Linked DNA regions of Mus musculus. The protein of the gene in region 1 purifies or fractionates together with the protein of each later gene. This does not show direct contact. Links are inferred from orthologs where the notes say so. Each region holds a gene or a part of one and is shown on either strand. Other genes may lie near its edges. The genes, in order: Ubr2 and Ube2b.

What was found.
Region 2: the proteins of Ubr2 (region 1) and Ube2b purify together in Homo sapiens (affinity purification with western blotting; 3 studies listed by BioGRID, with this or other methods). This does not show direct contact. The link is inferred for Mus musculus from reciprocal best matches to the Homo sapiens genes UBR2 and UBE2B.

What each region holds. Positions count from the first base shown.
Region 1 is NC_000083.6:46,923,065-46,937,357, forward strand, and holds the end of Ubr2 (E3 ubiquitin-protein ligase UBR2), read right to left. Parts: intron 12,448-14,293; coding exon 12,370-12,447; intron 11,182-12,369; coding exon 11,011-11,181; intron 9,491-11,010; coding exon 9,389-9,490; intron 7,437-9,388; coding exon 7,295-7,436; 3' UTR 5,227-7,294; downstream 1-5,226. Other genes in the region: Prph2 (peripherin-2), read left to right, coding at 271-483. UniProt on the Homo sapiens protein: E3 ubiquitin-protein ligase which is a component of the N-end rule pathway.
Region 2 is NC_000077.6:51,993,579-52,009,142, reverse strand, and holds the start of Ube2b (ubiquitin-conjugating enzyme E2 B), read left to right. Parts: upstream 1-8,651; 5' UTR 8,652-8,806; coding exon 8,807-8,850; intron 8,851-11,244; coding exon 11,245-11,325; intron 11,326-13,743; coding exon 13,744-13,769; intron 13,770-15,564. Other genes in the region: Cdkl3 (cyclin-dependent kinase-like 3), read right to left, coding at 4,051-4,215. UniProt on the Homo sapiens protein: E2 ubiquitin-conjugating enzyme that accepts ubiquitin from the ubiquitin-activating enzyme E1 and transfers it to a E3 ubiquitin-protein ligase. In vitro catalyzes 'Lys-11'-, as well as 'Lys-48'- and 'Lys-63'-linked polyubiquitination.

The DNA.
Region 1 (14,293 bases):
GGAAGAGGAGGGGTAGGCACAGCACGGGTCACTTGGGGTCGGCTCTGGATTAACAGGCGACTGAAGAGCCATGATGATCTAGGCAGAGAGTATCAGATGTTCTAAACGCCTTCAGGGGGCTGGAAGGGAGGCCAGGGTGGATGGGTCGCAATGTGACCATCTGCCCCAGCCCCACATCCAGGGAGATGTGAGCTGCCACTGCTCATGTTGTCCTAACAGCCCTCCTAGCTAAGCCTCATGTCTGCTCTAAGTCTCCTCTCTCCCTACCAGGTGAGCATCACTGCCGGACTCCGCTACCTCCACACAGCGCTGGAGAGTGTGTCTAACCCGGAGGACCCCGAGTGTGAGAGTGAGGGCTGGCTGCTGGAGAAGAGCGTGCCCGAGACCTGGAAGGCCTTTCTGGAGAGCTTTAAGAAGCTGGGCAAGAGCAATCAGGTGGAGGCTGAAGGTGCAGACGCAGGCCCGGCTCCAGAGGCTGGCTGATGGCCTGGGGCCTCTCCCCCTCCTCAACACTTAGTGGACTCCAGGGACTGTGGATACCCCCTTTGTCCAGCTGAAAGTCCAAATTTCCCGAGAAAGCTGGTCACCTACTGACTCTCCTTGATGTGGGCCTTGAAGTTCAGGGTCCTTAGGGCAGGTTACAAACATTTGTGAAACGGCTGCCTCCAGATGTGAGTGACTGAACGATGCAGCAGATGGCCAGGACTGAACGCTCACAGGACTGGCCAGTCCAGGGCTCTGTCCAAGTGTGAGTCCAGATCTCTCATAGGTGACTGGCCACACCAAGGGCCTCTCCCCTCCTCAGTAGTGTCTGCCTCTTTTAAGCTACAAGTTCTGCATCCCAACCATCACTTGAAACATAAAAGCAAGGTGAAAATAAGAAAACTCTAAGGGCCATGTTGTTTGTTTTCCTTAATGATAGGGTTAACAGGCTGGTCATCATTTGCTTCATGTTACACAATGGGGGAGAAGCAATGATATTTTTTTAAGAGTATTGGACTCCCTCAGAAGGTTACCTCCACATAGAAATTCACAGATGGCACAGGAGGTAAAAACTTTCCTTTAGTAAAATCCAGTGAGTGTCCCATACCTGCCCCATTCCCAGACTCGCAGTCACGTACTTCAGCTGGCATGTCCCAGCATCCTCCACTCACCAAGTGCTGGGTGAGCCACTGCCTGAGAAGGCCCCGGGTGAGTTTGCTGTCCTTTGTGGGAGAGATGTGGTGATCAATTAGGAATCTGCCACTTGGGGACCAAGCCCTGCCTCCTGGTGGTCTCAGATGGCCACAACAGTCTTTGTGGACTGCACTGTCCAGGAGGGCAAAGACCCCTGGGAGCTTCTGTTCTCCCTCCCACAAAGCACTATGGGAATGCTTCCGTATCCAGGAAGATTCTGGAGATAGGTTATCTTTCCGAGCTAGCGTGTGTGGAAAGTTGCTGTTTCTTCTGGGAACGTCAGGCAAACTCTCAGGGGAAGCAAAAATATGATTTTGGTGGCACCTTGTGGGATGGCACCCACAAGGACTGTTGTGGCCATCTGAGACCACCAGGAGGCAGGGCTTGGTCCCCAAGGGCTCAGCTGCTGCTGGCCTGTGCTGTGTGGTTCTAACTCTCTCAGGGGGAAGACCAGATTAGAGATGCTGGCACACCCAACGAACTATGGCCCCAATGTTGGTTAGTATTCTGAGTCTCTCAGAGCAAGAAATGGCCCAGATGCTGAGCCAGGCATCTGTGGCGGGGACCCTCGGGGTCCTGCCGTCACCTCTCAGGAGGGCTGAGACTATGGTGAAAGATACTCTAGACCCATTTCTAACTATGCTGTCAACCATCGTATTAAGAGATATTAAAAACTATATTGTATGAAAATCACTGTTAAGTGACTGTCCGTCTATTCAACAGCACACGTCACAGGATGTCAAATTCTAGCCAGTACCTGTTTAAAAAGGAAGGAGCCAGGTCCAGCCGTGCATGTCTCTCTGATTCTGGCATTTGGGAGGTGGGGGCCAGAGGATCAGTTCAATGGCATCTTGTACTACATAGCAAGTTCCAGAGCTAGCCTGCGGTACATGAGACCAGTCTTTAAATAAATAGAGTTGGGGTCAGGGCTAGAGACATGGCTCAGTGATGAAGAGTGCTTGTTGTCCATCCAGAGTATACATGGACAGTTGGACAGTTCTCAGAACCCACAGGTATAGTTTTACAGCTGCTTCTAACCCCGGCTTCAGGATCTGACTTCTTTTTCTGGCCTCCATGGGTCTCCATATAAGTGGCACCCTCCCATCGATGCAGAAATAATAACTTCAAAAAAAATTAAGTCTTAGCTGGGCAGTGGTGGCACATGCTTTTAATCCCAGCATTCAGGAGGCAGAGGCAGGTGGATCTCTGCGTTTGAGGCCAGCCTGGTTTATAGAGTGAGTTCCAGGACAGCCAGGGCTCTACAGAGAAACCCTGTCTTAAACACCCTGCCCACTGCACAGCCCTCCCCCTCAGTCAAGTCTCTTTTTCCATGCTGGATTTCTAAAACAATCATTTTCACTAATAGGTAACTGTAAGCGTCCTTGGGGCTGGGTTACAGGTTACGTGGTTCAGAGATTTAGGATAAACTGCATTGGAAGTAGTTTTAGGTAGCTAAGAGTTGCCAGGAAGACCATTCCTTTTGGTGACTTACCAGTCCAAGTAATACTCTGGTACCAACCAGGCTCTTCCTTATGTGACACTGGTCCCTCCTCAAGCTCATGCAAACTCACTAACAGCTGTTTCAGCCCCGCCCCAGTCAGGGTAACTGGTAAAGACAGAAGCAGGGACCGCCTGCCTTCCTTTTTAAAAGCTGTGATGGGGATTTGCTACACCCTAGCATGGGCTTTTTACCACTGAGCTACACCCCCAGTCCAGACTTCTTTTTGAGACTGTGTCCCTTATAGCCCAAGTTGGCCTGGAACTTGCTGTGTAGACTAGGCTAGCCCCACACCCAGCCTCTTAGTTTTATTTTAGTTTTTTTGAGATAGTCTTACCATGTAACCCTGATTGGCCTGGAATTTGCTATGTGGATCAGAGTGGTCTTGAATTTACAGAGATCTGCCAGCCTCTGCCTCCTGGGTGTTGAGATTGAAGGCCACGTCACCGTTCTCTTGGCCCAGTTTTCTATTTTCAAAACAGTCTCTAGTAAAACAACAGTTGATGGTTTCTTATGCTCAATGACCAGAAAGGCAGGAATCCTGGGAGTTTGTCGTCTCAGCTCAAGTAAGAACCTACAACTTCTCTTGACATGCTTCCAGCTCAAAACTAAGCCACCATGTAAATCCCAGGCAACCTCAATATGGGCTAATAAGATTAGCCATTGCTCTGCTAGGCAAGCTCCCAACCCCTCCTCACCCGGCACCCACCGGGCATGCTAGCCCAGCAGGTTTGCAGCTTAGCGACAACAATCAGGGCTTCTCAGTCACTCTCCACTAGCGCAGTGGAGTTCTTTTTTTTTTTTTTTTTTTTTTTTTTGTCGAGACAGGGTTTCTCTGTATCCCCCTGGCTGTCCTGGAACTCACTCTGTAGACCAGGCTGGCCTTGAACTCAGAAACCTGCCTGCCTCTGCCTCCCAAGATTAAAGGCGTGCGCCACCACAGCCCAGCTGCGCAGTGGAGTTCTTGGTGGCTGTGTGTCAGGGCAGAGCTGTACCTGTGGAAGGTATGAAGTCTATGCACGAGTGGCCTGGATGGGTTCCCGATTTGTGGACATGGGACTGGTGGCAGCGGGCAACATGATGGAAGGAAATTCATAGCCATTTACCCAAGGAAATAAAAACCCCCGGGTCCACACAAAGCTCCCATGTAGATAGGAGTGCTTGTAATCACAAGATGGTCACCAACCATCACCCAGGCCTTTAATTAGAGACTGTACCAAGGTCTGCACAGTGGATGCCATCAGCATCCAGAGGCAAGTGTGACTCTCAAACATACTCGACTTTATAAGGATTTTTAGAAACCCTATCTCTTGTATCCCAGGCCTCAAACTCATGTACTTGAAATGACCTTGGACCCCTGATCTTCCTGCCTTTGCAGCCCCCCTGCTGGGATGCAGGTTGTAAATACTATAGTAGCTTTTGTGTTGCTGGGGGTGGAACTTAGGGTTTCCCAAATGCTCAGTAACTAAGCTATGTTCTCCAGCTCTAAAATGCACGAGTAGCAGAGAAGCTGCTGGGAAGGCACCTCATGTGACTCCAGTCACCTACGATTCTGGAAGGGGTGCAGGACAGAGGAGTGAGAGGCAGCACTCAGGGCAGGGAGGAGGGGACCACAAAGGGGTGTGAGGGTATGTTCTGCAGGGACTGCTCTAGTTCTCAACTGTGCTGGTTAAACAACTGTGCATTTGCCAAAATGTAAACAACCCTGTATCCTTAAAGAGGGTTAATCTGTCCGTAAAGTATACCTCAGTAAACATCACTAGATAAGGGTGGGGTCAGAGCTGGTGGGTTATGGTGGCACAGGTTTTTAATCTCAGCATTTGGATTTTTGTGAGTTCGAGGCCAGCCTTGTCTAGAGTGAGTTCCAGACAGCCAAGGTTACACAGGGAAAAAACCCTGTCTCAAAAAACCAAACCCAAACCAACCAACCAACCAACCAGATATAGTTAGTTAGATAGATAGATAGATAGATAGATAGATAGATAGATAGATAGATAGATAGATAGATAGATAGAGAGCCAGCAGTCAGTGAGAGGCAGCTGGTCTAGGGCAGGAGTTAGCCTTAATGACCAGGAGGTGGGAAGCCCAATGGAGACCCTGGTGTTTGACAGTGTCCCATGGAGAACTTGATGTTTTGACTCAGTCTGGTAAGAGAATTCTGAGAACACAGCAGAATTCCACTCTGAGTCGTCTCCTTCTTGAACACATCGCAGAAGCCAAGTGTCGGGTGGGTGTAGAAGAACAAGGACCTGCAGGGAAGCAGGCAAGGCTGAGAGAGTCTCCCACAGACCTGCTGTGCACTGCTCTGCGGTCCAGGGGCCCCAGACTTCCCACTCTCACAGACAACAAGAGGAAAACTTCATAGGCTGAGCTAACGCCCATGCCTCCCAGAAGGTCAGTGTGGCCTGGCTAGTGGTCATAGCTGACACTAATAGTTTAAGCTTCTTAAATTTTAGGCTAATATCGATGTCCCACTTTTGCAGCAAGGTGACACAAGGAGCTTTGCTGGGGCCCCGTGTGTGCGAATGACATGGAGAAGATGGAGGCAAAACTCAATGTCAACACTAAAGCATTTATTTGAATATCTTTACTTTTTACATATGATACATCCCAAATTTTACAATTGTCCACAGATATTAAAATTATAGCCAATTTATTAAACACATGATCTCCCCTGATATGGAAAGCATGGTATATAAACATTTCTACAACAAAAACATGCGGAACAAGTGGAAGTAAGACGTGTCGGTAGGGGGAGGACATGACATTGCCACAGTGTGAGGACTGCCATTCCCTGGGAAGTCACTGCCCAGACCCTGATGTTCCCAGGAGTGAAACACAGGGCCACCTCTGCTAATCCCAGGCTCCTGTGGAGTCAGGTGAGAAAGCAGATGTTTTCAGCCTGTTTAGAAGCAAGCTGTGCTCATGATTTTTTTTTTTTCCTTTTGGGTTGGTACCAGGGCTGAACCTAGGCCCTCAGTCACACTAGGCAAGTGTTCTAGCACTAGGCTCAAGTCTAGAGACGTTCCCATAACTTTACAGTTAAGCCTTGTGAACGGAAGGTGAAGAGCCAACAGAAGCTGAACTTAAAATCTAAAGAAACGGCATGTGCCAAAGGTCGAAAGCATCACCATCCACAGCCCAGTCTGACTATGCCAAGGGAAGGCGAGACAAAGGGAGAGCACGGAGTCTAGCTTGGGCTTCCATTACAAACTCTCTGTCCTGAGCCTGGGCCGCGCTGAAGAGCTAACTGAAGTCCATCCTTTGAAGGGGAGGCAGCTCCTCACATGATCCTGGAGACTGTGCTACCTGCATTTCTTTGAGCCTCTGGTCTGGATTTCTGACTCTCCTGAGACACGGAGGCATGGATAGAGCTGAGTGGATGTGATTTGAAAGGCTGAGTGAGAGGTTCTTTGATGGTTAGAGAAGCTGAAAGCCCCTTTCTGTTCCTGGAGACTGGAGTTCATCCCTCTGCTGAACCTGCTGTCACCATGTCTATGTGACTTCTCTGAATGTGACGGATATCCGTCAGACGAGGAAATAGGTGTGCGGTGTGCCAGAGCCGTAACTGTGGCACCAAGTAGCTATAGTTCTAGAAAGGCTGCTCTTAGAATAAAAAGAACAGGCGTTTGTGTGCACAGGCTGAGGAATGTCCTAGATCAACCAGCAGACAAGCAGCAACACATCTGATCCAGATGCGGGGCGGAGCGGGGCGGGGCGGGGCAGGGCAGGGCAGGGCAGGGCAGGGCAGGGCAGGGCAGGCAGCTCAAAACACTGCCTTCTGGATTTCGTTTGGTTTGAGACAGGGTCTCCTCAAGTTACCCACGCTGGCCGCAAGCTTGTAACACAGTTGGAGCTAGCCTTGAACTCCTAGTGCTGCCTAAGCATCCTGAGAGCTGGGATTGCAGGCTTGGAGCACTGTACTCAGCCGAGCTCTTACTTGTCTGCTGTGGTCTGCTTGAGGGTGCGCACATGCTCTCTGTTTAGCCTTGGAGCAGAAGGCTATAGTCTGAAAAACTAGGAGGTCCTTTACATTTCAAAAAGCCCTTTAATTGAGTAATGCTTTCAAAGCTAAAAGTCTTGACCAACCATCTACAGCCATGAAAAGCCGGCTGCTCTCCTGTTAGAGTCCCCAGCTCTCTAGGCCATAGGGGGAAGCGAGTCCTGTCTTCAAATTGACTTGCTTTGCTCTGGAGGTGAGGTCTAGTCCCAGAGCTGAACCGCATCCCAGTCTCAGGAACCATGGTGGGACATGTCCTCCTGACAGGCCCCAGGGCTCCTTTTGGCCTCTGGTGGACAGCCAGCAAGCTTGACACCATCAGCAATGTTGACTGGCTCAGGCTACTGCAGCTGAAGCAGGCAGCGTCCAAAGGAGCTAGACTCCGGTCTAGAAAGGGCTCTCAACCCAGGGGACGTCCGTCTAAGGGACACAGCAATAAAATCTGGCAGAAATGACTTTTATCAGTCCCTGGAGCCAGACTAGAAAAATAAAACTGGGAAGAAAAGCTTAAATAAAGAATTTATTTCAAAATAGATTCAGCCGAACTTATTTCCTGTTGTCTTTCTGGAAAAGCCAGCTGTGTTACAAAACTCCAAGTCAAGTTTTTAGTAGAGGAGCGATTATAAATGCTGCCAGTCAATTCCGACCAGGGTCTGGTTAGCCTCCTGCGCGTGTCCGATCTCCTCTGTGATACTATGCTGCTGCCAGAGCTTCTGGATCTTTCGAAACCGCTCTTGGCATAAATGTAAAGGATTTCCTCGTCTAGAAAGAGACACATGTCACTCACAGGCACAGTTTATCCATTCCTCATGTCCCAACACATTCTGTGCCAGGAAAGGTGTACAGCACTAGCTTCCAACTGTGTATTTTCTGTATACACACACACACACACACACACACACACACACACACACACGCACGCACGCACGCACGCACGCACACACGCACACACACACACACACACACACACACACACACGCACACACGCACACACGCACACACGCACACACGCACACACGCACGGTGTTGGGTTGTGGGTATGTGCTGAAGAGAAAAGGTAGGTACTCCAGTGCCACACAGTTAGACTGAGGTCAGGAAACAGGACTGCTGGCCCAGGTCTGAGTTAAGAAGCTAAAACTCTTTATTCTATGGTGATGTGCAAAAAGGTCGTGGGGCAAAGGACAGGGTGGAAGGATGACAGGACAAGACAGGGGCTGTCACCTAGAAGCCTCAGCAAGGTAACTAGATGCTTGCTGCTGCTGGGCCCATGTTAACAAGATAACTAGACACCTGCTGCCCCTGGGCCCACGTTAACAAGGTAACTAGATGCCTGCTGCCGCTGGGCCCACGTTAACTGGGTATATGGTGGTACACAGCCCAACCTTGGTTATTCAAGCCTGGGAAGTCACCTCTGCTTTAATCCTTCATCGCCTGGGGGCAAGCAGCTTTGGAGTAGGGCTCTGTGAGCGGGAAGCTCCCAGCAGAGGCAGTATCAAGGGCAGCTGCGCCTGCATCATGTGATTCTCTTCTGCACACATATCTTTGGGCACTCACACCTGGTCTCCTGTCACCAGGACAGGAAAAGCCTCCCCTGAAGGGAGCCACACAGGCCGGACCTGTGGGGCTGATGCTGGGGATGCTATGGGCAACTCAAAGCAGTCTTTTGGCTTTCTCACATCTGTCCTATCTATGTTCCTCATGGAGGGTTTCTCAAGTTTCTTTCTCATTCTCATACTCTCTCTCTGTCTCTCTCCTTTGCCATGTGTGCACGCGGCAGTTGGACGTACTCTCTGGAGTCACTTTTCCTTCCATTTTCTATGGGACTCTGTGACTGAACTTGGTCAGCAGGCTCCTGAAGCAGGCCTTTACCTCGGCCAACAGTCGTCAGCCCTTTTGTTTATATTAAACTTAAAATTTTATTCTCAATGTGTGCACGTATGTGCAGGGGTATATGCCATGCTCGGTGTGTGGAGGCCGGAGGCCAGAGGCCAGTGTTGGGTGTCTTCTCTGTCTCCTTCCACCTCATCTCTGGGGCAGGGCCTTTTCATTGAGCCCAGAGCTCACCATTTTGCCTAGGCTGACTGGCTGATGGATGAGCTCTGGGGTGGCCCGTGTCTGCCTGTAGCACTAGGGTGAGAGAGAGCCGGGGATCTGAATACAAGCCCTCAGGCTTTGGAGGCAAGCACTTCACCCACCAAGTTAAGACACCAAGACATTCGAAAAGAATCCATTTTTTTCTGTTTGCATGGGAGTGGCCATGCACGTGTGTGGGTGTGCTCATGGCTGTGTGCACACGCAGGCAGAAGCTAGAAGTCACCCTCAGGTGTCTTCCTCCTCAGTCACTTGCCAGTGTCTCCTGAGACAGTCTCTTGCTTTTTGTCTGAGCTCACTGACTTGGTGAGGCAGAGAAACACCTCCCTCCCCACCCCCCTTCCGCACTGAGGTCACACCCAGGTCCTCATGCCCACATGGCAGGCACTTTACCAACCAAGCCCTCTCCCCACCCACTCCTGGCTTTCCAAAGGTGGCAAATGCACACAAAGCAGGAGCCAGGTGTGCTCCTTGAGAACGAGTCCACAGGTGACAAGTCCACGGGTGACAAGCTACCTTCAGCAGAGCCCACTCCTGGGTACCAGCCCAGCTGACTTCAGGACCTCCCTGCTTATCATGCTCTCCACGAGGCTCATCTTCCTAACCCCAGGCCGGGTCCTTACCTGAGTCCCTGGTCGGTCTCTCCATAGTCGTCAAGGTAAGGAGGAGAATAAAAACATCCTTTGGTTTTGCCAGCTAAAAATAGCACCTGACATTCCCGCACTCTGTGGAGAGAGCATTCATCTTTGTACATTTATGTAAGTAACATGATGTTGATTCAACTCAGAGAAAAGGCTTATGTAAGGAAACACATGCACAAAAGGCCAGGTCAGGAGACGAGAGCAGCTGTAACAGAGATACCTGCGAGTAGCAAGGTATCCGCCCAAGTCTGGTGCAGGGGACTTGATCACACTGTGAACCCTGAGACTGTGTTACTTATGGAAAAAACTGTTTCTAGTTGTGGTACGGCTCGGTTTTAATCCCTCTGCTGGAATACAGACTTGCCTTTAGGACATACCTTTAAATCCATAGTTTGTGGAAGGACACAGCCATGTTTGGAAGTGACGTCTAATGGAGTGGCAGACAGAATTATGAATCAGAGAAAGATCTGACAGAATAGGATGTGCCTCACTCTCTTGAGGAAGAGGAAGCTACTTGAGAGAGCAGCGCAGAGCCAGAGGGAAGAGAGAAGGCAGATTTACCGGGAGGGTTTTACAGAGACAGGCTGAAGAGAGACCAAGCAGACACGGTGAAGACAGAATGAGTCAGAGAATGAGAAGGAGCCAGAAGATCAGAGGAGCTTGCAAAGGTAGCATGAGGCCAAACAGAGCAACTCAGAAGTCAGTCTGACTCAGTCAGCATGGAGAGGGGTGTGAGTCACAGCCAGTCAGAGCTCAGAAAGAACCAGGAAGGGTGAGCTTATTCAGCACAAAGTCTCAGAGGCTGGAAACACTGTCGGCCTAGATTGGCCTGTGTGCAGTCTGGAAGTCCCCAGGCCTAGGCCTAGGTTAGCAGACGGAGGAGGTAAGCCTCCGAGGTGCCAATTCAGGAGAACAAGGGACTCTTTACACAAGTGTTCAGTGGAGCCATGCGGCGGGAATGTACCTGGCAATGACGTGCTGCAAATTCAGACAGTGACTGTGTCGAGAACCCAGGGCTCCAAGCAGAATTTAAAACAGCTAAGTGTGGGGAAAGACAGCTCATCTTTTCCCCACAATTATGAGAAAATTACTCGTTTAAAAAATGACATACAACAGTTACTAAGTATTTTTATCTGAGTACAGGACCCAGTGGCAACCCGTGCCTCCTCAGAGAAAACCTAAGAGCACCACAGAGGCAAAGATGATGCTGGGCTCTAAAGATTTACAAATTTATGCTTTATGTGTAAGTGTGTGAGTCCACAGAGGCCAGCAGAGGGCAGCAGATCCCCTAGCACCAGAGCTACAGGCAGTCGTGAGCTGCACTGCTGACCCAAATGCTGGGACCTGAATACAGGTGCTCTTGTGCTCCGTCTCTGCAGTTCCTGACGGGGGAATTCTTTACCTGAATTTGGGGAGGAAACGAGGGACAGGGATCGCCCCACATTTAAGGAGGCACAAAGGGGAGCTAAGCTGTCAGTTGGGAGCTGTCACCAGCCATACGGGAAATGTGAGAGCCCTGGCTCTTTGTAGTCTGCACACAGTGGCACAGTGGCTTCGAAAGTCCCCGAAGTGCTCAGGTGAACACGGCCAGCCGAGGGCCTTACCTCAGGAAGATGCCGGCCCCGGAGCCGCAGGAGTAGGTGTGTGCTGTGCAGGCTCCGACGTCCTCACCCTCCAGCTCAGCTTGGCAGCAGTAACTCTGAGAGCAGAGGAGACTCCCACACACGAGGCACAGAGTAGGAGCTCTGCTCTTGTCGCCACCTGATTTGGGGCACCTGGAAGATAAAGACAGCACTGTTACAAAGGAACAGGCACAGAGCACCCTGGAAAATAATCTGTCAGTATTCACCATTCTGTGACAGGACACTGGGACACACACTAATACCACCTACCAGAAACACCTAAGGGAGCAACATCTGGGACAGGCAGATGGGAACACTGTGTGAACAACAGGAACTACTATTGGGGCACGGAAGAGTGATGCCTCAGTCACGTACAAATCTCAGACACAGTGTGCAAAGTACTGCAGACACAGCCACTTAAATGGAGTGACGCGGAACAGACACCCATGTTAGCTTCCCAGACACATGGGGAGGGGGCGAGAAGAAGCTTCAAACAAGAGATGGCTTCTGTTAGAATGGCCTGTGGGCACATCTTTGGAGACACTTTCTTCTTGATGGCTAATTGATGACGGGCAGGTGGGCCCAGGTTATATAAGAACGCAGACGGAGCAAACCAGTGACAGTGTTCTTCCATGGCCTCTGCTTCAGTCCCCCGTCCAGGTTCCTGCTCTGAGCCCCTGCTCTGACCTCCCTCAGTGACAGACTGTAACCTGTAAGCAGGTTAACCCTTTTCCTCCCCACGTTGCTCTGGTCAGTGCTTTAGCACATCAACAGAGTAAAAGAGGGCAGAGACTCAGCACAGCACTCAGAGTGACGTGTCTACAGAGCAAGGAGGGAGACGCAGGAGATACCCAGAGACAGAAAACTCCTTAAGAATCACAAATGCAGGCCAGGTGTGGTGGCGCACGCCTTTAATCCCAGCACTCGGGAGGCAGAGGTAGGCGGATTTCGAGGCCAGCCTGGTCTACAAAGTGAGTTCCAGGACAGCCAGGGCTACACAGAGAAACCCTGTCTCGAAAAACCAAAAAAAAAAAAAAAAGAATCACAAATGCAGGGCTGGAGAGATGGCTCAGCAGATAAGAGCACTGGCTGCTCTTCCAGAGGTCCTGAGTTCAATTCTCAGCAAGTACATGGTGGCTCACAACCATGCATAAGAGGATATGTTTAATGCTCTCTTCTGGCACACAGGTGCACATGCAGATAGAGCACTGAGACACATAAAATAAGTAAATGGAAAGGACTTCTGATTTCTCTTCCCCAGTGAAAACAAAGAGCCCCCACAAACCCATCTGACTGTCTGCAGAAGGGTCTGAGGGGCAGGGCACCAAGAGAGTAACTTACGAGAAATTGGATGCTTGGTTAATGAGGCTGCTGTAATCCTCTGGAAGGTCTATCAGTTTGTTAGCTCCTCTGGGGTAGCTAAGAAGTGAGAAAGGAGAAGAACTTGGTAAATATGTGGTCATGTTATAAGCACACAAGGTTAACTCTTGGCTTAGTCAAAGTAGAGCAAAGGAAGGTGTACTGAGCAGCCGATGGCCTGGCGTGGTGGAAGCCAGAGAAGGCAACCCAGCTGCTCTTCACCATCGGCAAGCCTGAGGGTCAGGGGGATGAATCCCCCGCTTGTAACCCGTGACAGCTTGGAGAACTAGGGACCCGCAGTGCGGGCAGAGTTGATTTCTGACTGTGGTGGAGACAAACCTGAAAGGCCATTAACAGTTAACTATCTAAACTGCCTAAGATTATGTTCTCGCTGGAAGCTCCCTAGAAAAGAACAGGACCCACCGCCATCTCCCCAAGTTAATCCAAATGGCTCTGTCAAGCTTCTGGGCAGGAAAGTAGCGCCCAGGGGAAGTTTTCTGCTGCAGAGACTTTAGGGATGGAATAAAGCCCACCTAGAGTGACTCTCCCTTGAACTCAACTCCTGGAACCCAGAGTGGAGAGAGAACTGACACCTACAAGCTGTCCTCTGACCTCCACACAGGCGTGGCACGTCCTCACCAATATCCATACACAAACAACAATGTTAGAATACAAAACAAAAAACAAACAGAATTGCCCAAACCAAACCAATTCTGTCTCCTACACTCCACTGTATGCGTCTTGTCTGGATTCTTTCAATGGAGCCCGTGGGCGGGGTGCTGGGGATGGGGCTATGATGGTAGTGTCTCGGAGTTCCCATTCCTCACCTGATGTGCTCAGAATGAGTGACGAGGTAGACAGAGATGCCTTTAGGCTCTGCCCATTTAAGCAAACGTTTGGTGGCTGCAGGAAGGAGCAGCAGGTGAGAATGCCCACTCTTGACTTCTACGGCCGGCACAGTATCGGAGAACCCACCCTACAACTTCAGGACTGACATCAAAAAGTGCGTACTTACTATGCGTGCTCTGAAGGCACCATAAGAATACAACCATTCCCTCTCTATCAGCTACACTGGTTCTGTGACTCAAGAAACTCAGAAAAAGACGTTCAAATCCAGTCAGTACTACAGGGCTTCTTTCTCAGTGTGAGCCACAGCTCACAGCTGTGGTATCCACTCTCTAGCTACTGAAAGCCCAGCCTCGACTTCCCTGTGGGAGACTTTGGACAGCACTAGCTAGCCATCATCATCCACTGCAGTTTAAAGGGAGCACACCGGCTAGAACTCCAACTTCAGAGACGCACAGTGCCAGGAGTGCTGTCTATATTTTCAAAGCGTGTCAATTACTGTGATCAGCACTGCAAGTTAAGAAGCACGCGTCCTGTCCACAGGAAGACCGCTAGCTAAGGGTGTGTGTGTGTGTGTGTGTGTGAGACAAGCGACCATTTACAGATGTACACGTCCTGTCCACAGGAAGACCGCTAGCTAAGGGTGTGTGTGTGTGTGTGTGTGTGTGTGTGTGTGTGTGTGTGTGACAAGCGACCATTTACAGATGTGAAACCCTCACAAGGTTCAACCCCTCACAGCAGGAGCTCTGGGTTCTGGATTGGTACTAGCAAGCTCAGGCAGCCTTCTGGGAACATGGGGCTGCAGACTCCAGAAGCAGCAGTCCTGAGCAGTGAGACACCTATGTGATCCAGAGGAAGGTTTTACACAACCAGTGTGCAGTTGTTTGAATGAAAATGGCCCCCATAGGCTCAAAAGGAGTGGCAATATTAGCAGGTGTGGCTGGTTGGAGAAAGTGTGTCACTAGGGAGCAAGTTCTGGGGTTTCAGAAGTTCCAGTCAGACCCAGTGGCTCACTCTCTCTTCCTGGTGCCTGGGGATCCAGATGTAGAACCCTCAGCTA
Region 2 (15,564 bases), on another chromosome or scaffold:
TAACACTCCAGTCCAGAGATTGTGAGGCGGAGCTCTGAGTTTGAGGCAAGCCTGGTCAACAAAATGAGTTTCCAGGACAGTCAGGGATACACAGAGAAACAGCAGAAACGTTCATTTTAAATGTACTAGATAAATCTTTAAAACAGTGTACTTCATTATCTTTTTTGCTATTACTAGACAACATTTCCATAAATATTCTCACTGCTCTATTGGTTGTTTAATGAGATTCTAAAATTTAGTTAAAATTGAGTTCTTTGGACAATCATTTTAGGTTAAGAATATTAACAAGTGTAAGAAACCTCTCACTAGACTATGTTAAATTGAATAGTAGTGGTGGCGGCACATGCCTGAACCCCAGAACTCCAGAAGCTGAGGCAGAATGAGGAAGAGTTTGATCTAGCCTGGGCTACACAGTGAGTTTAAGGCTAGTCTAGACTATGCAGTAACACTTTGTGTAAAGAAAAGGAAGGGGCCTGGAGAGACGAAGCAGCAGCTAAGAGCACTGGCTGCTCTTCCAGAGGACTCTGGCTTTTTTACATTTATTGGCTATTCTGTGTGTGAAATCCACTATTTTACTTGCATGGATGTCCATACACCAGGTTCATGTCTGATGCCCAGGGAAGTCGGAAGAGAAAATCAGATTTCACCCTATCTATGGGTTCTAGGAATCAAATCCAGGTGCAGACTAGCCTTAAACTCACTGTGTGTTGTGAAAGAGCAACAAATGCTCTTAACTCTAAGTCAATGCTCTAGTCCCTAGGGCTCTGGTCTAAACCAGGCTCACAGCCATCTGCAGCTCTAGTTCCAGGGAATGAGACATCTTCTGTCCTCTTCTGTCCTCCGTGGGCACTCATGAACATGGTACAAAGACATACATGCAGGCAAAGCACCCACACACATAAAGTGAAATTATTTTAAGTTTAAAACTCTTTTAAAGGAAGAAAGGTAGGGAGAGACGGGAAGCAGCTGAGCCAGGCCAGTCAGTCAGAGGAGTTTAAATTGTCTTGCTAATGGTGTCACATGGCTTTAATCCCAGCACTCAAGAGGCAGAGGCAGGTAGATTTCTCTCTGTAAATTAGTAGTCTGTTCTACAAAAGAAGTTCCAAGGCAGCTAGGGCTACATAGTGAGACTCTCTCTTATAAAACAAACAACAACAAAGGAAATAAAGTGTCTTAAAATAATTTGCATATGTCAGACATGGCAAATATGTGCATTTGAGGGCAGCCTAGTCTACATAGCAAATTCCAAAACATCCAGGGATACATAGTGAGACCCTGTCTCAAGTTATTTGTGTGCATTTATAACAATAAAATGTTTTCAGGCTTATCTCAGGGTTCCTGTCACTCTCGGTTACTTTTTTCTTTTTTTTAAAGATTTATTTATTATTATAACTAGTTGCACTGTAGCTGTCTTGAGATGCACCAGAAGAGGGCATCAGAACTCATTCCGGGTGGTTGTGAGCCACCATGTGGTTGCTGGAATTTGAACTCAGGACCTTCGGAAGAGCAGTCAGTGCTTTTACCCGCTGAGCCATCTCACCAGCCCCTCATGGTTACTTTTATAAACATTATTATGCAGGGGCTGGAACTGTTACTCAGCTGGTAGAGTGCTATCTAGCATGCACAAAGCATGGGGTTCGATCCCTAGCACCACATAAAACTGGGTGGCTCAAGGGGTACAGGCACTTGCTGTCAAGCCCGTCACCCTGAGTTCAGTCCGTGAGAGCCTTCCAATTTTAGCAAGCTACCCTTTGTCCTCTACCTGTGTGCTGTTGATGTGTATGAACACACACAATAAATGTATTTTAAAAATTAAGACATAGCAGGCATGGTGCTGCACGTAATCTCACTGCTAGAGAGGTGGAGGCAGGATACCCAGTTTACCTAGACTCTGGTCTCAAGGCAAGAAACCTTAATGCCCCTAGATTCCAGTGACTAGAAAATTTGTATTTGGAGGCTTCTTCCCCTTAGTTCCAGTCTCTAGCTATGGACTCCTCTAGGCTACTAATTATCTCCTAATTCTATTTCTCACTTAAGGAGCACAAATGACCCGACAGTGCTGATTCATTTCATAAGGCAGGGACTGATGTCTCTCATAGTACAAAATTACCTTTATTAGCTTTTAATCTTTCCTTCATACAGTCTAGAATAGAGCAGTTCTGACTGTCTACAGGTGCTAGTATAGTGTTCTAGTTAGAAGCAAATTGACTTATATTATCTAATAGAGATTAAAAAGGAAAATGCTTCTTTTGTACCAGATGAAGATGGCAGGAATAGCTATGATCTTCATCACATATAAAACACCTAGACTTCAGTCTCAAGGTAAGAAACTAATGTCCCTACATTCCAGGGACTAGAAAATTATATTTTATTAGCAGTGGTCTGTAGAATGTATTAGGTTGAAAACTAAGGGGGTCTGGTAAGAACCTAACTCAGGAATGCTGCTAGTATCATGAGGCCATTTTTTAGAATTCAGCAGTGTAAACAGATACAAAGTTAAAATGATAGACTGCAGATAACATAGGAGAGAGTGTAGAAGCAAATAGAAAAGAGTCGGGTTTTGTTTGGTTTGTTTCAGTCTCTAGCTCTGGACTCTCCTAGGAACGTGCATGTTCTTTTGACTGCCTCAGCTCTTTGGTCTGGTAGACCCAGCACCCCTGCAGTGCCTGGAGCTCCCCGATACGATACTGTTGCTGCTTGTAAAAGCTTAATAGCCTTCAGTTACAGATCCCTGTCACCTCCAAGTCAACATTTCCACAACTGAGCTAGTTCTCAACCTCTCTTCCAACTCACATCAACTGCAGTGTTCTCTGGACTTCAGGGCATCTCTGACTCTTTAACGGCCTCATGATACTAGCAAGCCCCCAAACCAAGTTTTGACTTCTTAGACTAAAACACTTTCTGTTTCCAATTTACTACACTTTAATCACACTTCTTTCTAATTCTATACAGGAAACTCATAGAGCAAGTATCTGCTCTTCTTCTTCCCATTCTTGCTGTCCTGTTTTAGTCTTTCTGACCTTACTGCTGTTCCCCTAACCTGGAAGTATCTCCATCCTATCCCACTGCTGTACATCATTCAAGGACAAGTACATACCCTATTTTCTGTTTAAAACAAAACAAAACAAACCAACCAAACAAACAAAATCCTTCCCCATCAAACGGGAATTGGTGGGATTTAATATTAACCATTAAATAAACAACAAATGAACAAAAAAGCCTGTGTGGGTATGTGATTGTATGCACATGCCTGCAGGTGTCTCTGGAAACCAGAAGTAGGTACAGGATCCCTGGGAGCTGGAGTTACAGGCAGTTGTGAACCTGCTGATGTGGGGTGCTAGGAAATGACTCTAGTCTAGGAAGTGCTTTTAACCACAGAGCCATCTCTCTGGCTCAGCGTGAACCACTCTTATTCAGGGTTATTTTACTATACCCTCCTGCATAGTTATGCCACTAAGGAACATTTTTTTTTTCTTCAAGACAGGTTTTCTTTGTTTAACAGCCTTGGCTGTCCTAGAACTCACTCTGCAGACCAAGCTGGCCTTAATCTCAGAGATCTACCTGTCTCTGACTCTCCAGTACTGGAATTAAAGGTTTGCACCCCAATACCTGGCAAAAAAAATTTTTTTTCCTTCTTCCTACTCTCATCGTTTTCCACAATCCCTTGTACAAAGCAGACATCCTTACTAAGTATTATACTTGAATAGTTTTGAATGATTTTACAATACTAGCATAATTGTTATACACAAGCACACAATCTTATATCAATAAAAAAGTACAGATTGTAGACAATGAGGGTTTCTCTATGACAGGTCTTAGTTTATCTGTTAATGGAAACATTCTTTCATATATTTTATTTTTATCCCATAACAATTTCTCTTTTGACTTAAATAATCAAGGAAAAAGAAGATGGGTGTTTCAATGTAGGCCTGTAAATCTTAGCCCTGGAAAAAAATAAAGCATTTCAAGACAGCCTGGGCTGCATAGCAAGATAGGTCCCAATGGGAAAACAAGAAAAAATATATATAATAAAAGGCAAAAGAAGCAAACCTTTAGAAACTTTATTTCTCTCGTTGCAATTTTGTTGACAGATTTTTCTGGTTTCTCATAGAAAATCTTAATGGCCACTATTCGCCCAGTGTCCTTATGTTTGCATTTCATGACCGTTCCATAACTTCCCTCTCCCACTTTTCCAAGGGTTTCATACATCTCCATTTTCAAGCCTGGCTTCTACTTCACAGAAATAAAGAAAGAAAACGTTAAACGTTCACACTTTCAATTATACAAGCTCTATAATGCTTAGAGATAATCCCCTACTTTCGGATATAAGAACAAAAACTAGGAGTGCCGGCTACAGCAGAGCCTGCTCGAGGGAACTCTTAAATTGTCTAAGAAGCTCCAACTTTCACCAGAACGCAGGATGTCCTTCATTAATCTAGCATTTTGTGTAGACCGGGATTGAGAAATAAAAGAGGTCTGATATGCGTTTAACTCAGGCATCCTTTTAGAATACGGGATTTACAATTTGAGGTCCCCTTTCAGGAACAATGGAAGCCAAACTAAAAAGTCCCGCTAACAACACTGCGGGTCCCTTGTTAGGAGCCACGGTCCACCAAGCGTGGGGACTCCCACCTCAGCACTAGTCACCCATACGTCCTGCCCTCTCCTCAAACACGCAGTCTGTGCAGCCCCAACCCGAGTGGCCCGTCTCGCCGCGCTGTCGACCTCGTCCTGAGAACCACCGCCGCCTCAGCCCATCCTGTAGTCCCGCCGGCCCGGCTGCGTGCAAGTCCCAGCCGGCCCGGGACACCACACCTCCTCTCCTGGCCGACCTTGCCGGCTCGGGGCAGCCGGACGCCCTGGCAACGGGGTGAGGGCGGGGCACTGCCGCGTTCCGAGCACAGTACGCAAGACTGGAAATTGCTGAGGTCCTGACCCGGAAGGGAAAGTGACACGAAGCGGAAGATAGACCCAAGGGGAAGGGGGAGGGACGTAGGAGGCCCGCGTGCTTGCAGGTGGGGGTGGGGGTGGGGGGTGGGGATGAGGGAGAGCGGGGCATTTTATAGCAGAATGAACGCCTGGAGGCTTTCGCCCGGCAAGAGAGCGTTTTGTCACCTGGGTGGTTACTGGTCCCTTACTTGTGCCCGGTTCTAGGAGGTTGACGGAGATAATTGGATCTACGGAACACTTATGGGGCTACAGTTTGCCAGTGCTTCGTTACTATTCCATGCAACCGATTTCGACCTCAAAGTCGACATAATCCTTAAACCGGGGACAAGATCGTTTTTGGATAGAGGGCTTAGCTCGGTAGTAAGCCACATACTCAGCGTTCACTACTCCTCTGACTTATTTCTAACACCATTTCTGTACACATTTTCAGTTTCCCAATTACTACTGCTTTCTACCTACTAGTGATCCCTTTTTGTTTTGAGACAAGGGCTACTATATAGCTCCGGGTAGCCTGGGACTCACAATGTATACTTCCAGGCTGGCCTCAAACTCCCAAGATTATCTGCCTGCTTAGAGTGCTGTGCTGAGTGCCATCATATCCAGCCCTAGCAGTACTTTTAAAGTTTTCTCATGACGTGTGAAACGCAAAACTTTTTAGGAAAACAAAATAATTCACCGGACTCTGCCACAGGCTGAGTAAGTACAAGGACGCCTAGGGATGTACTTTTAAATAGCCCGCAGAGCTTTTAAAAGGGCTCCATTTTTACAGATCTTGATTTAACTGTAATAGCAAAAGTAGGTCATCGAGATGGCTCAGTAGGAAAAGGCTACGAAGCCCAAAGTGTAGAGTTCAATTTCTTGGACCTACGTGGTGGAAAATGAACCAACTCCTCCAAGTTGTCTTGTGACCTATACACACAAATGAATGTGCACAACGAGTGTGCTGAGTAGTGTAAAAAAGAAACTAGTTTGCTTTTTTAAAAACAAAAACAAAAAACAGTTTAGGGCTGGAGAGATGGCTCAGCGGTTAGGATTACTGACTACTACTCCAGAGGTCCTGAATTCAGTTCCCAGCAACCACATGGTTACTCACAAGCATCTGTAATGGGATCTGATGCCCTCTTCTGGTGTGTCTGAAGACAGCTACAGTGTATTTGTAAAAAAAAAAAAAAAAAAAAAAAATCTTAAAAAACAACAAACAAACAAAAAACAGCCGGGCGTGGTAGCTCACGCCTTTAATCCCAGCACTTGGGAGGCAGAGGCAGGCGAGTTCCAGGACGGCCAGGGCTACACAGAGAAACAGTTTAGACGCATTTCCATTTTTGCAATTTTGCTACTAACTGCTAGAGCCTGGCTTTGGAGCTTGAGAGTTAGGAGGGCTGGGCACTTGGCTTGGATTTTTCTTTTTCCTATAAATAAGAATGTTGTGAGACCTGCTATATGTTTACTTAAGATTTGTTATGAACTAAATATTTGCAAGGAGCAAAGCATGAATTAGTGAGCCCCTGTCATCACAAACTAACTCCTAACCCCAGCACTCAGGAGAGAGGAAGTCAGAACTATGTGAGATTGGGGCCAGCCTGGTCTACATAGCAAGTTACCCTGTTTTAATAAGTGAAATTATAGTTCTAAGACTGCGGTTGTAGGTTTCCAGCAAGCCACCTGGCCATGAAATTGTGTGAATTTTGTTAACATTCTGCTCTCTATATTTTTGGGAAGCATTCAATTTATCAAAACATTTCATTTTGGATATTAAAAACTATCCCGTCCATTTTTTAAAGTAATAAATTGCTAGATAAGCAACAGAATGAGATTTTTAAAAAGCGTCTGCCATTTCACTCTATGTATTTCTTGATCATGAGGAAGATTAACATTGGTATGGCTGGACGGAAATTTAAAAAAGCCCAGGCACTTGTTACCGGCCCAGGGGATTTAAAAAGCCTGTTTTCCCCCAAGACAAGGTCTCTCCCAACTCTAGGTGCGGTGGAATTTGCAGACCTCTAGTCCCCTGTCTACCCAGTGCTGGAGTTGTGCTTGTGCGCTGCATCCTTTTCAATAACATTTTACAGGGCTACCTAAGGCCCTGGGGTTCTACGGAATAACTCAAAGAGAAGAAACGTAAAGGTAAGAATATTTAACTTTTAGCTTAGTCACATTGTGAGGACACAGCAGCGGCTATCAAGAGTAAGACATACCTGACAATCCTCAAGGTTACTTTTTGGCGGGGAGGGATGAGACGCTCAGGCTGCCTAGGGTGGCTACCATCCTGCTTCACTGAGGCTAGCCTTATACTCCTGATCCTTTCCACTCTCCGAATGGTGGGATTGGCAGGATGCACCAAGACGCTGGGTTCTCAAGGTCATTTTAAATCAAGAGAATTGTTTGAAGGAAGAAGGGATAAGGACAGTGAAAAAGGTTAACCCTTCCTGGTTTCATGGAACCATGTGAAAGAGTGAGCAGTGGAGTCTCATGCGCTTCCCCCTTCTTGAGTTAAAGAATTCCGCATCTACTACACTGTTCCGGTCCCTAGAACTAACAAATCCCCAATACAGGGCTAGAAGCTGAGCACGGAAATTCCAGGAGCCAGCTGGGGGCTGTGGTGGTCAATGCTTCGGGAATCGGCTATGAATCAACCCCCCACACCGCACTTCCGGTCCATTTGGTCCCTCTTTGCTATTGTATAAAGCTTGTAATGAGTTACCTCAGAGTCGAGCTCTAACTCCCACCCATGTCTGCAGGATCTCTCCCCTGATCTGAATCATTTTTGTAGGTTTCTTTGACAACCAGCAGCATTGATATGCTCTAAAATCACACCCACTCACTTCTTGAAAAACACAATTGTGCCCCACCGCAGGCAAATTCACAGATTCCAATTCAAAGACTCCATAGATGGAGTCTTTAAGGTTTGGGCAATCTATTCCACTCTCATTTCTGTATAAATTCTAAGTATGGAAATTCCATTAGCAGGAACAGGCTATTGATGCAAATGCCCTTAATCCCATCTCATTTGCACCGACCTAGCATTCAAAGCCGTTCATTACAAGGCTTTGCCACACTTTCAGTACCTGTCCCACGTACCAGAGTTGCTAAGCCACTTGAAACACAGAATTAAGTCCAGATTTTTTTTTTGTTGTTCCGTTTTAAAAGACTCAGAATGCAAGCGGCTCCTTCCACAATGTCTCCTTTTGCAAAGCCCCAGTACTTTGGGACCAAAAGAATAATGTATGACTAGAGGTGTCAACTCCTTATACTCAAGGACCTGCTTTGTTAGACCTGAAACCAGAGCCAGGCTAGGCCATCACGTGACCTGCTCTGATGGCGTCACAGGCACACGTGGTTCTAGATACTTCGCTCCCTCCCCCTCAGGGGTGGATTGTTGACAGCGGCGCTGGCGGTCACGTGACTTGACGTCACCCCCCCCCCCACCTCCTCTCCTCCGAAATCTCAGGCTCCGGATGCACCACTCTCTCCCCGTCCGGCCGAACTTGAAACTAGCGACGGGGGGAGCGAGGCGAGGTAGCGTGTGGGCTCCGAGGGCGTTGGGCCGGGCCGTGTTCAGCGTGAGCACGGAGCGGATCCTCCGTAGTTGCCCGCAAGCAACAAGCCCGGAAGGCCGCCTTCTGCCCCTCCGGTGCGGCGCGCGCGCCCGCTCGCCCCGCCCCCTCTCCCCCCTCCCGCGGTGGTACTGGCGGAGGGCGGAGGGATCTGGAGGCGGCGGAGGGAGACGTCATTGCAGGGTTGTTTGTGCAGTCTCGGTGGCGGCGGCGACCCACAGTGATTCGGCCGCTGCGCCGGGGGGTGGGGGGGCTGAACGGGACTCTTTTCTTTCAGACTGACCGCGGGGCAGCTGCGGAGCATGTCGACCCCGGCCCGTAGGAGGCTCATGCGGGATTTCAAGCGGTAAGGGCCCTCGTCTTAGCCCAATATGACGGCCTCTTCCCGAAGCCATGGACTGTAGGGCGGGGATTCCGGATATCTTCCTCCTGGTGACCCTGAGGAGGCGGGCAGTGGGCCTGCGGGACCCACGGCAGTCCCGGCTTCCCGGTGGCTCTTACTCCCTCGCTTCATACCTCCCTCTGTCTGGAGTAAAGATGGTCGGTACTACAGCCTCCTGCCCTTCCCCCCCAAAAGTAGGAAGGTGGCCATCGCTGGGCCTAGGTGTCCCAGAGGCCCACCTAGGGCAGATGCAGACGCTTCACCTCCCGCCTCTGCACCCTGCAGTGTCCCCTCCCCAGGTGGTGCGAGTGAGCTGCTCCTGAGGCTCCGGCCTCGCCTGGCGGACCAGTCCAGCTTTGTTACAGGGCCCCGTGATCTCCTGTTGGTAGTGAGAGGTTGGGGTGAATACTGCCCCAAATCTCTCCCTTTCTGCAGTGGTGAGGGTGGGGTCTGCTGCGCGAGGTCCGGAGGTGGTTAGCCCATCCCCCGAAACCCGATCTGCCCCCGCCCACCTGGAAGGACCTTGAGAACTGGCTCGGGAAACCTGGGCCTGGAGCTAGCCACTTGGCCTGCCAGTGCCTTCTGGAACTAAGATCTGGCCGCGGAATAAAAGCCTATCTATAGCCTCCCCAGCCTGGAAAAATGCCTTCCGTCAGACTGGAGCTAATCTGATACTCCACCTGGGCCTCCTTTTGGAAAATAGGGGTTTATAGGAAATGTGGGGCTTGAAGGAAGAAGATGACCTCTCCCAGTTGTTTACCTCTCCTTGGAAACGTACAAGTGCAGAAACAGTAGACTAGATACTAGTTTTCTTTCTGGGCAGACCCGCTGTGATTGAGACAAATCTGTAATATAAAAACTTAGATTTGCCTCTCAGGAAGCAACTGCTCAACTTTCCCATTATAAAGCCCTTTATGAGAGAGAGAGAAAAAAAAGCCCTTTATGAGGCATTTGGAAGCTATTGTCTTGGGACCTGGACAACTTCATCATTTAATTCGTTGCTGATTTTAGCCACACAATTGAGGAATGAAGCAGTAAATTCGTCCCTCTCAGTCCTGTTAGTGACCTAATCTGCTTGAGGTTGACCAGTTTGCCAAGTGTCCACTTAAAAATCACAACATACTTTGTGAGATGGACAGGTTTTTGTTGTTGTTTGTTTGCTTGCTTTTTTTTTGTTTGTTTTTTGTTTTTCAAGACAGGGTTTCTTTCTCTGTGTAGCCCTGGCTGTCCTGAAACTCACTCTGTAGACCAGGCTGGCTCGAACTCAGAAATCCCCTTGCCTCTGTCCCCTAAATGCTGGGATTAAAGGCGTGCGCCACTACTGCCAGGCTGTTTTTTTTTTTTTTTTTTTTTTATTAATGATCTGCCAGACAAAGAGATGTCCTTTTTGGTGCAAAAGTCACCCAATGCTTGAAGTCACTATATTTGATTAGCTCTGTAACTGATACACAAATAAAACTTTCCATTATGGATAATACATTATCTATTATTATTTATCTCTTGTTCATTTTTGCAATTTCTGTACTTGACTCCCAGTTGAGTACAAGGTGCCTTTGGTGGTTTTCCAAGGATCTTGAGGTTACATGAAATTGCTGATGATGTCTGTTGAAAGCATTGTATGGAGGCCTGAGGTATATTTGGCCTGAGAGCAGAGTTTTTAAAATAGAGCCTGCTGGAAAAGCTAGCTGGAGCTTCTGACTACTTTAGAAAGGCACTGTTTGAAGCACAGGCCATGAAGTAAGACTTGCTTTCTAGTTAAATTGAGGTTTTTTGTTTTTTTAAGTCATTTAGTGTATAGAGATTTCCTACATTTTTGTGTTGTGTAGTGTCTGTAGTTAGGACTGGAGATCCTTCCATGATTAAGGTACGAAAATTGTAAGTTTTTGTTGTGTTTGGTTTTTGTTTTTTGAGACAGGGTTTTTTTGTTTGTTTGTTTGTTTTTTGTGTGTGTAGCCCTGGCTGTTTTGGAACTCACTCTGTAGACCAGGCTGGCCTCCAACTCACTCACCTATGTCCCAAGTGTTGGGTCCAAAGGTGTGGACAACCACTACCACCTGGTAGTTGCAGGTTATCTAAAAGTATTTTTCATTGCTAAAATTGTAAACTTTGAGTGGGTTAAGAGGGTACTCTGAAAACGAGTTCCTCAAGAGACCATATCTTAAATCTTGCTGTTTGAAGAATTTACAGATCTGGTAGTATTAATACGAATATTAACCTGGTTGATTCATTTAGATCGTAACTCATTTCAGCTCCAACTATAACAAGTCAGTCTAGCTAGTCTGTCAGAGTAGCTTCAGGAGAGTCTGACCTCACTGGCCTATATGTTCAACTCTGAAAATGACTACTCTGGACTTCTAGATTGCAAGAGGACCCACCTGTGGGGGTCAGTGGCGCCCCATCTGAAAACAACATCATGCAGTGGAATGCAGTTATATTTGGGTGAGTTGAGCTAGGGATTGCTCAGAAAAGGTAAGTAAATAAGCACTGGGGAGAGAGGCTGAGGCCGATTCTGAAACTCACTTGTGTGGGGCGGGGACACATCTTTTGAGAACCCTGGGCCTCCTGTGCTAATTGTGCTCCCATCCCTAAGCTGTATATCCAGCTCTTGAAACATTTTATTGAGTCTGGGGCATTTATATAAAATTGGTCGGCTTGCTGTTATATTTAATTTGGCTTCTTTCCCTTGAGCCAAGGTGTGTTGCAGTGTTGCTCAGGGTGATTTTGAACTGGGCTGAAGTGATCCTCTTGCTTTAGGCCCTCTGGAGTAGCTGGGATTGTGGGCGTATGACACTGTACCTGGCTATGGTATGGTTTTATGGTTACTCGAGGTGACTGATCCTAGGGTGTGAAGGCTTTGAGTGAAGCTGAGTGGTAGACTGCTTGCCTGCTATGCATATGGCCCAGGGCTTGATCCCCACACTAATAAGTAAATGCTGGAAATTAAATGGGCTAATGAAGGAGATCAGGTAAATCACCTCATACAAAATGTGCCGTTCAAGTGTTTATGCCCCTACTGTTGGAGCTGTAAGGACACTTGGAACCAAAAGGACCGAAAACTTTGCTGTGACAAGAATTTTAGCTAAAAATGACATATGCACAGCCTACCGAGAAGCCACTGGATGACTTTGGGTAATACTGAGATTGAAACACCCTGTAGGCAAATGCTCCATCCATCACTGGGCTGCACTCCTAGCACCTTTGAGATTCTATTGAGATAGACTCTTGACAAGGGTGGGGTTCAGCCTTTTGATCTAGCACTTAGAGGCTAGGGTCCAGGCTGCCTACTGAGGTCCTGTCTCACAAAAAAACAACAACAAAAAGATCTCCATGCATTTCTCAGACTTGGGATCTTCTTCCTTCAACATCCTCAGTGCTGGGAACACAGGCATAGGCTACCATATAATACCTTTTTAATTTCTTGTTTATCATTTGTGCGCAAGTGTGCACGCCTGCATGCTGGCTGACTGACTGTGAGTAGGTATCTATAACCCATAACACTTGGTGTAGAGGTAAGATGACAATTGTGTAGTCATTTCTCTCCCTCCATCATGTGTTCAAGAGATAGTATGGCGAGTAGTTCTACTTGCTAAACTGTCTTGCTAGCCCTGCACATCCTTTTTGATTTAAAATGTAAAAAATTTTTGATTATGTGTGTTTGTCTATATATGGGATTATGGGAATTTACCACTACAGCTAGTTATGGTATGGTATGATTTTACAGTCAACCCAGGTAATTGATTAAAAACTAGGGTTTGAAGGATACGTGTATAAGAGAGCAGGTGCCCATTGGAAGCCAGAGGCCAATGTCTGATGTCCTGAAGTTGTAAGCTCCCTGACATGGGTACTGGAAATCAAATTCCTGTAAGAGGTTTTTTCAAATATTCTTCATCAGTAAGCTGTCTTACAAGGATCTACACTTAACTAGGATATAACTAGTGGGGGATCTACACTTAACTAGTAGATAACTAGTGGGGTACTAAGAATGTAGCTAGCTCAGTGGTGGAGTGCTTGCCTTAACATTCCTGAAGTCCTGGTCAGTCATCTATAATCATAGCCCCTGGAAGGCTGAGGCAGAAGGATCACAATGTAGAAGCCAACCTGGGCTATTTATTTAGTAAGACCTTATCTCAAGAAAATCAAAATAGGTATACTGACTTATCCTTAATAAATCCTAGCACTCAGAAGTCTGAGGCAGGACAATTGCTGCATGGTTGGGCAAGCCCGGGCTGGGAGACTCGCATCCCCCGCTTTTTTTTCCCCCTGTGTATGTGTTATACCATCCTTTTTAAAATCTTAGTTTGAGATGGCCTTGCCAAGTTAGTCAGGCTGTGTATCTTAGGCAGTCCTCAAACTCTGACATCCTCTGCTTCTGCCTCCTGAGTCTCTGGGAATACAAGTGTGTGGTACCAGGTTCACTTGTAGACTCTTGGGTTTTTGTTTGTTGGTTGGTTTTGGTTTTGAAAACAGGGTTTCTCTGTGTAGCCACTGGCTGTCCTGGAACTCACACTGTAGCCCAGGCTAGCCTCAAACTCAAGATATCTACCTGCCTTTTCCTTCCAGTGCTGGGAATAAGGCATGTGCCTTTATTTGGGTGTGCGCTGCCACACTCAGCTGTACAGTATTCTTTTGCAACAAAATCATAGACAAATTTCCTTTCAAAAAGAACTTGAGCATTGAAAGTCCTTTGTGCTGCCTGAGTTCAAGCCACGGCTGTGGCAGTCTGACAGGTAAAGTTTATGCAGCTCTCAGGAGCAGGGTGAGCGCCGTCCTCCTAGTTCCCAAGTTATCCTTCCCTCCCTGAAGACAGAGAAAGAAGAGTAAAAAACTAATTTTAATCAGAGATCTTTTTGTTTTCAGACCAGAAGGGACACCCTTTGAAGATGGTAAGTAATTCTTATTATCTACATATTAAAAGGGTGCCCTTTGGTCAGAGACTCTAACAGTATTTGAAGACAGGCTCTACTCTTAATAAGCTCTTGGCATACTAAGCAAGCAAATGAAAACTTAGAGCTCATGGGGATCTTTTTTTTTGCACATCACCTTGGTCACCTTTCACCAGTTTTCCGTGTGACATGGGTTACCTATACAGCTGTAGGTCTAAGTGGTCTGTGTTACAAAATGGTTGATGTTTGGGCGGCCTAATAGAGGTGCTCCCTGGGCACTGCTACCAAGTGGGTAACTGTTTCCTTGCTTTCTTGTCTGCATTCATAAGGGTGTTGTAAAATTTTCCATTTCTTTTCTCCCTATTACTAGGGAATAAATCCAGAGCTTGGTATGTTCTAGGGAGGCACTCCACTGCCAGGCATCCCTGAGTCCTGAATTCAGAGTTACCAGTAGCTTCACTACTCAGCATTTAGCACCCAGAAACGTTGTGCAGTCATTTGCAGCTCAATTTGGGTCTAACAGGAGCCAGGAAAATGGGAGAATGATTCTAATCTGTAATCACAATTAAGTTTGTTAAGTTGACTTTAAGCAGGTACTGAAAGATTTTCCTTAATTATAGTGGATTAAAAAAAAATTAAACAGCTTTGCTGTAATTATCAGAATGACTTCAGAATTCATCTGTTCAGCATGTTTGACAAGAATAGTTACTGTGGCCAGGCGTGGTGGCACACACCTTTTTTCCCAGCACTCGGGAGGCAGAGGCAGGCAGATTTCTGAGTTCGAGGCCAGCCTGGTCTGCAAAGTGAGTTCCAGGACAGCCAGGGCTACACAGAGAAACCCTGTCTTGAAAAACCAAAAAAAAAAAAAAAGAATAGTTACTATGAACTATTTGTGAGAGAACCACCTGAAAACCTGAGAAGTGAGTGGTGCCGTTCTTGGACGCTAGGATATTAAGTACCTGTCGAAGAAAAGGAGGCCGGTCTAGCTGTAGGTCTTAGACAAAGATGCTGTAGAATAACCTAGCATCTGTATATTTGAGATGGATCTCACTGTAGCCTCTTCTGTAGGTCTAGACTCACAAATCCTCCTGCCTCTGCCTTCCAAATGCTAGGACTATCCTCTCTCTCTCACTAAACATGTATGCCCGTGTAGGGATGCGTACCACACTGTCACTTACTTACTTGTGAGTAGGCATGAGGAATCCCAGGAGCTACTGAATGATTGTGGCACACTTCTTTAACTATGTCAGGACTTCTCAGTTGTCCATTCCCAAACTCTTCAAGATGTCTTGAGTCCGCCATACAGGAGACCCTGTGGTCATCTTTAACTGTGTTGACCTTTGCATTGCTGATACAAAGGCAGCCTCACTAAGCTAGATCTGTACCTAAGGAATTGAGCATCTAAGAACGAGCCGGGACTGTGGCCCACACTGTGCTAACAGTGACTGTGTTCTTTGCATGTTAAGAGGACTTGGTGGTAGTTGAAATTGCTCGTCCTTACATGTGGATGCTCCTTAATACTGTGCTTTATGAAGGACCTCAGAGGCCTTCCACAGCAGAGTGGGTGCAGCTGGAGCCTAGAGCAGGAGCTGGGTTACTGGGAGTGTGTGCCTGGCATGACCTTGGGTCTGTCTGTAGATTTAAAAAAAAAAAAGACAAGACTTTAAAGTATAGCAGTTTAATTCTGCTGTACTTTACATTTTTTAATTTCTGTATATATTTTTAAATTACATTAAACTTGTAATTGAGTAAAGAGATGGTTTTTTGTTTTTTGGATTCCCCCCCCCATGCTCCA